Linked DNA regions of Xenopus tropicalis. The main gene of each other region encodes a partner of the protein of the gene in region 2 in a complex. Links are inferred from orthologs where the notes say so. Each region holds a gene or a part of one and is shown on either strand. Other genes may lie near its edges.

Region 1 (3,754 bases), on a different chromosome or scaffold from region 2:
GCAAAAAAAAGAAGATAGGAAGCATCTTTGGGGGGCACAGATCTTAACTGCTAAAGGTCTGTGGTTGCATTGGGCTGGTACAGAAGCACAAAACATAATGTACAACATGTGTAACCTACATCTATAGTTAAACTTTAGTTCTTCTTTTAAACATCTTAGCAGTGCTGATAGCACTGCCACTTACTCGCAATCACTCTCAAATTATAAAATATAAATAAATAAATTATAAATAGAGTGCAATATACCAGTGTTTTTAGTACAATATTAACATTTTGTATGGCAGATAAGAGGACAACCCTCATATATAATAAAAAGCACTATGTTTACCCAGGTGCAGTAACCAATATGGTGTCTGCTTTTAAACAGATGACCAGTAAATGATACATGCTGATTTGTAGCAATGGGTCACTGCACATGGGAAAACTTAGAACCTTCTATATACCCCCACTGATGTTTTAGGGTGAAGACACACTACTGGTACTAGTAGCAGCTACTTTTTCACAGCTACTAAACTCCAGAAAATACCTTGCCATAGACAATACTGAGAACTGCCTCTGATAAACCACACGTAGAGACAATTATCATTAAATGATCAGCACTGTCTATTTTTAGTAGCCACAACAAGTAGCTACTACAGGTATAGGACCCGTTATCCAGAATGCTCGGGACCAAGGGTATTCCGGATAAGGGGTCTTACCATAATTTGGATCTTCAAACCTTAAGTCTACTAAAAAAATCAATAAAACATAAATTAAACCCAATAGGATTATTTTGTATCCAGTAAGGATTCATTATATCTTAGTTGGGATCAAATACAAAGCACTGTTTTATTTTAACAGAGAAAAAGGAAATCAATTCATATTCTAAAATATGAATTATTTGATTAAAATGGAGTCTATGGGAGACAGGCTTTCCGTAATTCGGAGCTTTCTGGATATCGGGTTTCCGGATAAGGGATCCCTTACCTGTATTAGTAGCTATGTGTGTGTCTTCACCCTAAAACTATTAAATAGGGCATTCCTCATCTAGAAGAGAAGATTATCATAAAGATCCCTAGAATTTTTTAAAGTGTCTTTTTGCTTAAACATTATTTGAATATGATTACACACACACTTTAATGTCTTGAACCATTGCCATGCTACCAGTGGCAATAATTAGGCAGTTTAGCAAACACACATTGTCAGCTGGGAACAACTAAGCACTTGCACTGGACACCAGAACTGCAACCAACTTAACAATTGTATAGATATTTCTATAAGTAAAGGCTGCTCTGTGAAACATTTATTTTGACATTATCTGCAAGCAGGTATTACATATTTAAATTTAGCAGCTATTTAAAGTTCATAGAGGACCATTTTAAATGAAAAAAAAATACAGGATTAGAATAGTATTTTAACATTTAGGGAGGTAACTACTGAGAAAAAAAGAAAACCTAGAAATAAAGTGCTCCAATCTGAATATACTGGAAACAGAGATAATAACTGAGGTTTGCAAGCTGTGGAAAAATGTACAAAGCAAGCTTTCACTTAACCACATGATAACCTGAAATACATAAGTGAAATTCAAGCCACGTCATGTGAACTGCTGGATTGCTTATGTTCTGTACAGTATGACATTTCACCCTGCACCTTCCTGCCTGTTGATAAACGAAACTTTCTATGATCTGTACATACAGGGCATTTTGTTTAACAGTAGCAAGAGAACAGCATCACTGCTACTAAATGCCAGCTTATGTTACAGCATGGTTTCACAAGGGTGCATTTAAGTGACATACAACTAACTGTCCCACAAGAGTGAAACGACATACACATTCCATATTGAGAAAATAAAATAAATGGCCCCAGGCTGTTGTAGAACTAGTGGAGTAGTACTGTTTTCATGCTTTTGGTAGTAGTGCATCTACAGAGAGCACAGGATTATCTTATCATCCCAATACACTACTTGTACAGTACACTTGCTGCATGCACAATTTGTATTCAGATGTAGATTGGGGGATACAATAATTTCTGTGCAAATTAACCATCAATACCCAAATTGCCTTCCTGCAGTGTCAAACTACAACTCTCAGAATGCTCTAACAGCCACCAGCTGTCAAAGGATGCATGAAGATGAAACATCTGGACAATTTCATGTTGCACATCATTTTACTAACTTAGTTAATACACTAATTCCTAGCAAGCCAGGATCTAGTAACTAGGCCTCCAAGTATAAAAGGAATATATGGCAGCACTAAGAAAAGCCTGACACTGGTACATGAGATAAACAAGTGTAATTGCCCCCTATATGAGCGCCTGACGACAATGCCACCGTTCACACCTGCAGGGTAGTGATGTGCTTGTCGTTGAACTTGTTCTCACAGTAACGCAGAACTAGCGAAGTCTTCCCCACGCAGCCCTCTCCGAGCAGCACCACCTTGAACGAGTAAGTCTTGCTGACCCCCGCACCTCCACCTCCGCCAGCCGCCGCCATGGACCCAAACGAGCCACTAAGGCCACCGACACAAGGAGCCCAGGCCGCACCGAAGCAATCACGCAGCACCGGGCTCCTGGCACCGCTTAGAGACGCGCCCCTCAAGTTCAAGTCAACACGACTAACAATTGTCAGTGGAACTTAATATGTGACAGGCCAGAGGTTCAAGAGCTTTCTATCCGCCTTAGTCTCTAATGGCGACTTCTTCCTCTTACGTCACCCACCACCACGTGATGTTGGTGTGATGCCGAATGTTAGAGTCTGACTGACAGGAAGGCGTGATTGGAAATCTTACAGGGTGTGTTCGGCTGACGCACCTCACAATATTAATTGGCGGGATTGTGTAGATTGGTTCTACCAGTGGCTGGATTGTGTCATGTTTGCTAAATTTGTAATTACACATCTTACTCAGTATTGAGGAAACGAGGTAAATGATGAGCTCTGCTTTGTTTCGTAGTGTTTTGTAGACTCCACGTTTCCTTTACTGTAGTAAATCCCGCCAACCCTGGTACATGCTATACAATAGGTGGCATTAAAATGCAGATGTGCGGTTATTGGTGAGAACTTTGGCTTACCAACTATTGACAAAGAGCTGTCAGCCCCAGTAGACTCTCTTCCCTGGGGATCATTACAGCATGTGTAGCTGATACCCTGAGGGCATGTGTAATGTGTCTTCACTGGGCGTGGGGTAGTAAGGTGGCCATACACGGGCTGATTCTAGCTGTCGATATCGGTCCCGATTTGGCAGCTTAACGGCCGAGTATGGGCAGTAACGACGGGCCTGCCCTACCAATATCTGGCCTGAAATCGGGCAGATACTGATTGTGCAGGTTTAACCCTTTAAGTGCCAGCCGAATTCGTCATTTCAGTTCCCCCCAGTGCCAGACGTTTTGTAAACATTCTGTGCTCTCTCAATGTAGGGGCTTTTACTGGGGGCAGGGTTAAGTTTAGGTAGGCAAACTATATATTGTTTTTTTCAGGAGAACCTGAGCTTTCCAAATCTACCTGAGTTTTTGTGTATTTCCACTTCTGGAACAAGATTTAGAGCTTGAAATACAAAAAAAAAAAGAAAAAATGCTATTTTTCATGATATAAGGATTTCTACCAGAAACATATTTTATTTTATGGACAAAAATTCAACTGATTTGGAAAGCCTCATGTCTCCCGAACGTGCCAATACCTGATGTGTATAGTTTTATTGAGATTTCTGACTTCTATAGATCAAAAACTCCCAGCAGTAAATTACTAAATTTTCAAAGCATTACAGCAGAATACGGCATACTTT
Region 2 (3,654 bases):
AGATACTCTGATAAACAAGAGTTTAGTTAGACGTGACCACCACATAATAAAATTAGATTTACTAAGTATATTTTAAACAACCACTACTTTATTCATGCGTGAAATGAATACACTATCACTGTCTTCCCTAAAGTACTAAATCTAAAGTCTGTCTTAAATCATAATAAAACTAGCTTTTCTAACAGGACCCAATTCCACAAACAAAAAAAATCCATGACATAGTACACCCTTTATTATCTTAAGCTACTAAAAAAATGCACAAATATTTAGGAATGTAGACCAGGTTTGGGATGAGATGCTTCCAATCTTTAAAATCATCACAACAAAAAGAATGTTACCCTTCCAATACATCTGCAACTTCTCTGCTGTGTTTTGATAAAAGTCCTGGGTAAATTCAGATTGTTCGTCAATATTTGATTCCTAGGATAAGTAAAAAAGGACATACAGGATATATTAGCCAATTAAGAACCACCAAAAATGAAATCATATTTTGTTATCCAGTGAAAAAAGTGCATAAGGTCACAGCAGCTCCTGGACATATGCCATTTGATTGATACAGTCCTGTTTCTCACCAGGGAAACCTGTAACAACCTTTATAGCCTTCTTCATGCCTGGACCATCCCACATTAGCTCCCGCTGTTTCTAACTACAAGGAAACATTTTTACTGAATAGGACTATCAATGTAGTAAGTTGAAAGGATTGTTTGTGAACAACTGGGAAGAACTACTTTTACAGGCTAATCCATCATGTACCAAAAATATGCTACACTGTCTGATCCATTGAGATGGTAAAGGTAAGAATATAGTGATTATTATTGATGTTATAAATATTATAAGGGATGCACCGAATCCAGGATTCGGTTCAGTATTCGGCCAGCATTCAGCCTTTTTTGGCAGGGTTCAGATTCAGCCAAATCCACAGTCCTGTCCAAATGGAATCCGAATCCAAATTAGCATATGCTAATTAGGATTTGGAAGGGTTAATGCGGTGCATAAACAAGGAAGTGTAAAATGTAACCATCCCAAATGGGATTCGGTTCGGTATTCGGCCAAACCAAAACTGGGTTCAGTGCATCTCTAAGTATTATAAAATAAACATTATTGGAATAATAACAATCTTAATGAAATTCTGCATTCCCTAAAACTGAGCTGTTAGGGGCCCCAGACTTGTGTATGGGGAAGCATCATTTAACTAAGACTAGTTCCAACTACGATAATACATGTTTAAACAACAGCCCCGAGATAAATGGGTTAAAGCTATATTTTATATAGCAGTGGGTCTAGCATATTTAGGCAATTTTAACCAAATGACTCCTTCCCATGTATTTGCCTTGACTATTTCCAATCAGAAGTTTTTGGAGATGCTGGTAAATCTATTCTACTGATCATTACACAGAAGGAATGACTGCACAAAGGTCAGATTTAAAGGAGAAGGAAAGGCTAAGTCATTTGGGGGTGCCAAAATGTTAGGCACCTCCCAGTGACTTTAATCGCTTACCTTTTACCCTGGGTTGGTGCCCCTGTTAGGAGAAAACCGCACCAGCCCGGGGTAGCTCTTCTTCCTTGTTCGCACACTTGCACAGTAGAATGAAAAGCCGAACTTTAACAAAAATGTCAGCTTTTCACTCTACTACACAGGGATTTTGACGACAGAAGGAAGTGCTTGCTGCAGTCACCTCGGGCTGGTGCTGTTTTCTCCTAACAGGGGCACCAGCACGGGGTACAAGGTAAGCGATTAAAGTCACTAGGGGGTGCCTAACATTTTGGCACCCCCAGGTGACTTAGCCTTTCCTTCACCTTTAAGCCAAACTGGTGAGCACTTTGTCCTATTCTGCCATAACACTTGTTTTTGCATAATGAAAATGCAGATTTCAAGCAATAGTCATCTGATACAAACACAGGTTAGGCAACCCAGACCCATCTAGTTTCCTTGCTGGATCATTGCGGCTACCCTGGGCTGTGTGCATGCACAGCAGAGAAAAAGTTCAGCTTTTAGCATCTAAGTTCTCATTATACTCTATGTACTGTATGTGCAGTCCAGACCAGCTACCAAGAATCCCTGGGAGGCACAACAATTGGTAATATGGAGCTCACTAAAATAGTACCACCCCCAGAGGGGGACCTGTCTGAGGTCAATGATTATATTAACTGGTGGGCAACCCCCAGTAATTAATTGAAGTGTTTTTAGCGCATATTCTGTTTGAAAAGGATGTTTTCCCTTTGTGTGCGCTAAATTGTCTTGGAGTAGTGATGATTTCATTTAATTTACAGAGCTACCCGAATAGCAAATGTGCAGCTCTTTTGCATCTCCACTGCCACACTAAACTGCTCTAAAACAGACTTAATATAAGATTTTTTTATACGAGCAGTGTCACATAAGTGGCCATAAGATTCTATGTAACCATATTTTATCATACTGATGCATGGGTCACTAAGGAGGAAATTCAAAAGAGACTTGAACATGTAAAGGTAAACAGAAGTCCAGGACAGGATGGTATTCATCCCAGGGTACTAACCGAGCTTAGCTCTGTGATTGCAAAACCTATTCACTTATTTATTTAGGATTCATTGAGGTCTGGAATAGTGCCGCGAGACTGGTGAATTGCTAATGTGGTGTCCTTATTAAAAAAAGGGATCCCATTTTCAGCCTGAAAACTATAGGCCTGTTAGTCTGACATCAGTGGAAGGAAAGCTTTTGGAAAGGATAATAAGGGATAGGATACTTGCAAATCACAAGACTATAAGTTTGTGCCAGCATCAGTTCACCAAAGGCCACCCCTTTAGATTAGGGGAACAGAACTTTAAAGCAACATAGGTGGTTCTTTACAGTGAGGGCAGTTAGGTTGGGTAATGCCCTTCCAAGTGATGTTATGATTGCAGATTCTGTTAATGCCTTTAAGAGGGGCCTGGATGAGTTCTTGAACAAGCATAGTATCCAAGGCTATTGTGACACTAAAATCTACAGTTAGTATTGATGTTGTTATATATAGTTTTAGTATGTGAGTGTACAGACAGATCAGTATGGGTCTATGTGTATGTGCTGGGGATCGCTTGGATGGGTTGAACATGATGGACTTTGATCTTTTTTTAATCTGACTTAACTATGTAATTTGAAGGGAATGTGTGGATTGAAATCTGTATAAACCTTTTTTTTGCAATCCACACTTCCGACAACTGTGTATATTAAAACATAAACAAAAACACATACACAGTTGCACATGTAAGGTGTTCAGATCAGGTAGTGGCAAGTGTTTTGAAAGGCCATCTAACACTATTCTAACAGCAGCAGATACTGGATTCCTTACCCTTTTGTGATACATGGCTTCCAAGAAGATTTTGGACATTTTGTACACGTCATGTCCTGCTTTCTGGTAAGTCTTTAAAAACTCAATAAAATCCTTGGACACGCGGTCAGTTTCCAAGCTATACTGGCGGCTCAGAGAAGGGCTTGGGGATTTTGCTTCTTTTATATCTGTTGTCACATAAAATACAGAGTAAAAAGAAAGTTTTATTTTTTTTAACCTATTACAGGGTACATTATCACTGAAATGAACAGAAAAAGAATACTCCGCAATCAATAGCAACAGGTTTACAATTTTACAATCAGTAAGAAAACAAATAGCAATACTTGCAGAAAGTTTAAGATCCTATAAA

The links.
Region 1: the proteins of rabgef1 (region 2) and rab21 are in contact, whole or in part, in a crystal structure (PDB 2OT3), measured with the Homo sapiens proteins. The link is inferred for Xenopus tropicalis from reciprocal best matches to the Homo sapiens genes RABGEF1 and RAB21. Residues at the interface, in NP_001273991.1 of Homo sapiens: Leu253, Cys254, Lys296, Phe299, Asn300, Lys303, Pro309, Ala310, Ser311, Ala312, Asp313, Phe315, Leu316, Pro317, Ile320, Leu347, Met348, Thr349, Gly350, Glu351, Gly353, Tyr354, Tyr355, Thr357, Asn358, Cys360, Cys361, Ala364, Phe365, Ser373; in NP_055814.1 of Homo sapiens: Ser19, Phe20, Lys21, Gly26, Glu27, Gly28, Lys32, Thr33, Leu37, Thr50, Thr51, Leu52, Gln53, Ala54, Ser55, Phe56, Ala71, Trp73, Asp74, Thr75, Ala76, Gly77, Gln78, Arg80, Phe81, Leu84, Ile87, Tyr88, Asp91.

The regions. Positions count from the first base shown.
Region 1 is NC_030679.2:59,983,059-59,986,812, reverse strand, and holds the start of rab21 (ras-related protein Rab-21), read right to left. Parts: upstream 2,644-3,754; 5' UTR 2,470-2,643; coding exon 2,317-2,469; intron 1-2,316. UniProt on the Homo sapiens protein: The small GTPases Rab are key regulators of intracellular membrane trafficking, from the formation of transport vesicles to their fusion with membranes.
Region 2 is NC_030678.2:48,716,572-48,720,225, forward strand, and holds part of rabgef1 (rab5 GDP/GTP exchange factor), read right to left. Parts: intron 3,473-3,654; coding exon 3,306-3,472; intron 421-3,305; coding exon 339-420; intron 1-338. UniProt on the Homo sapiens protein: Rab effector protein acting as linker between gamma-adaptin, RAB4A or RAB5A. Involved in endocytic membrane fusion and membrane trafficking of recycling endosomes. Stimulates nucleotide exchange on RAB5A. Can act as a ubiquitin ligase.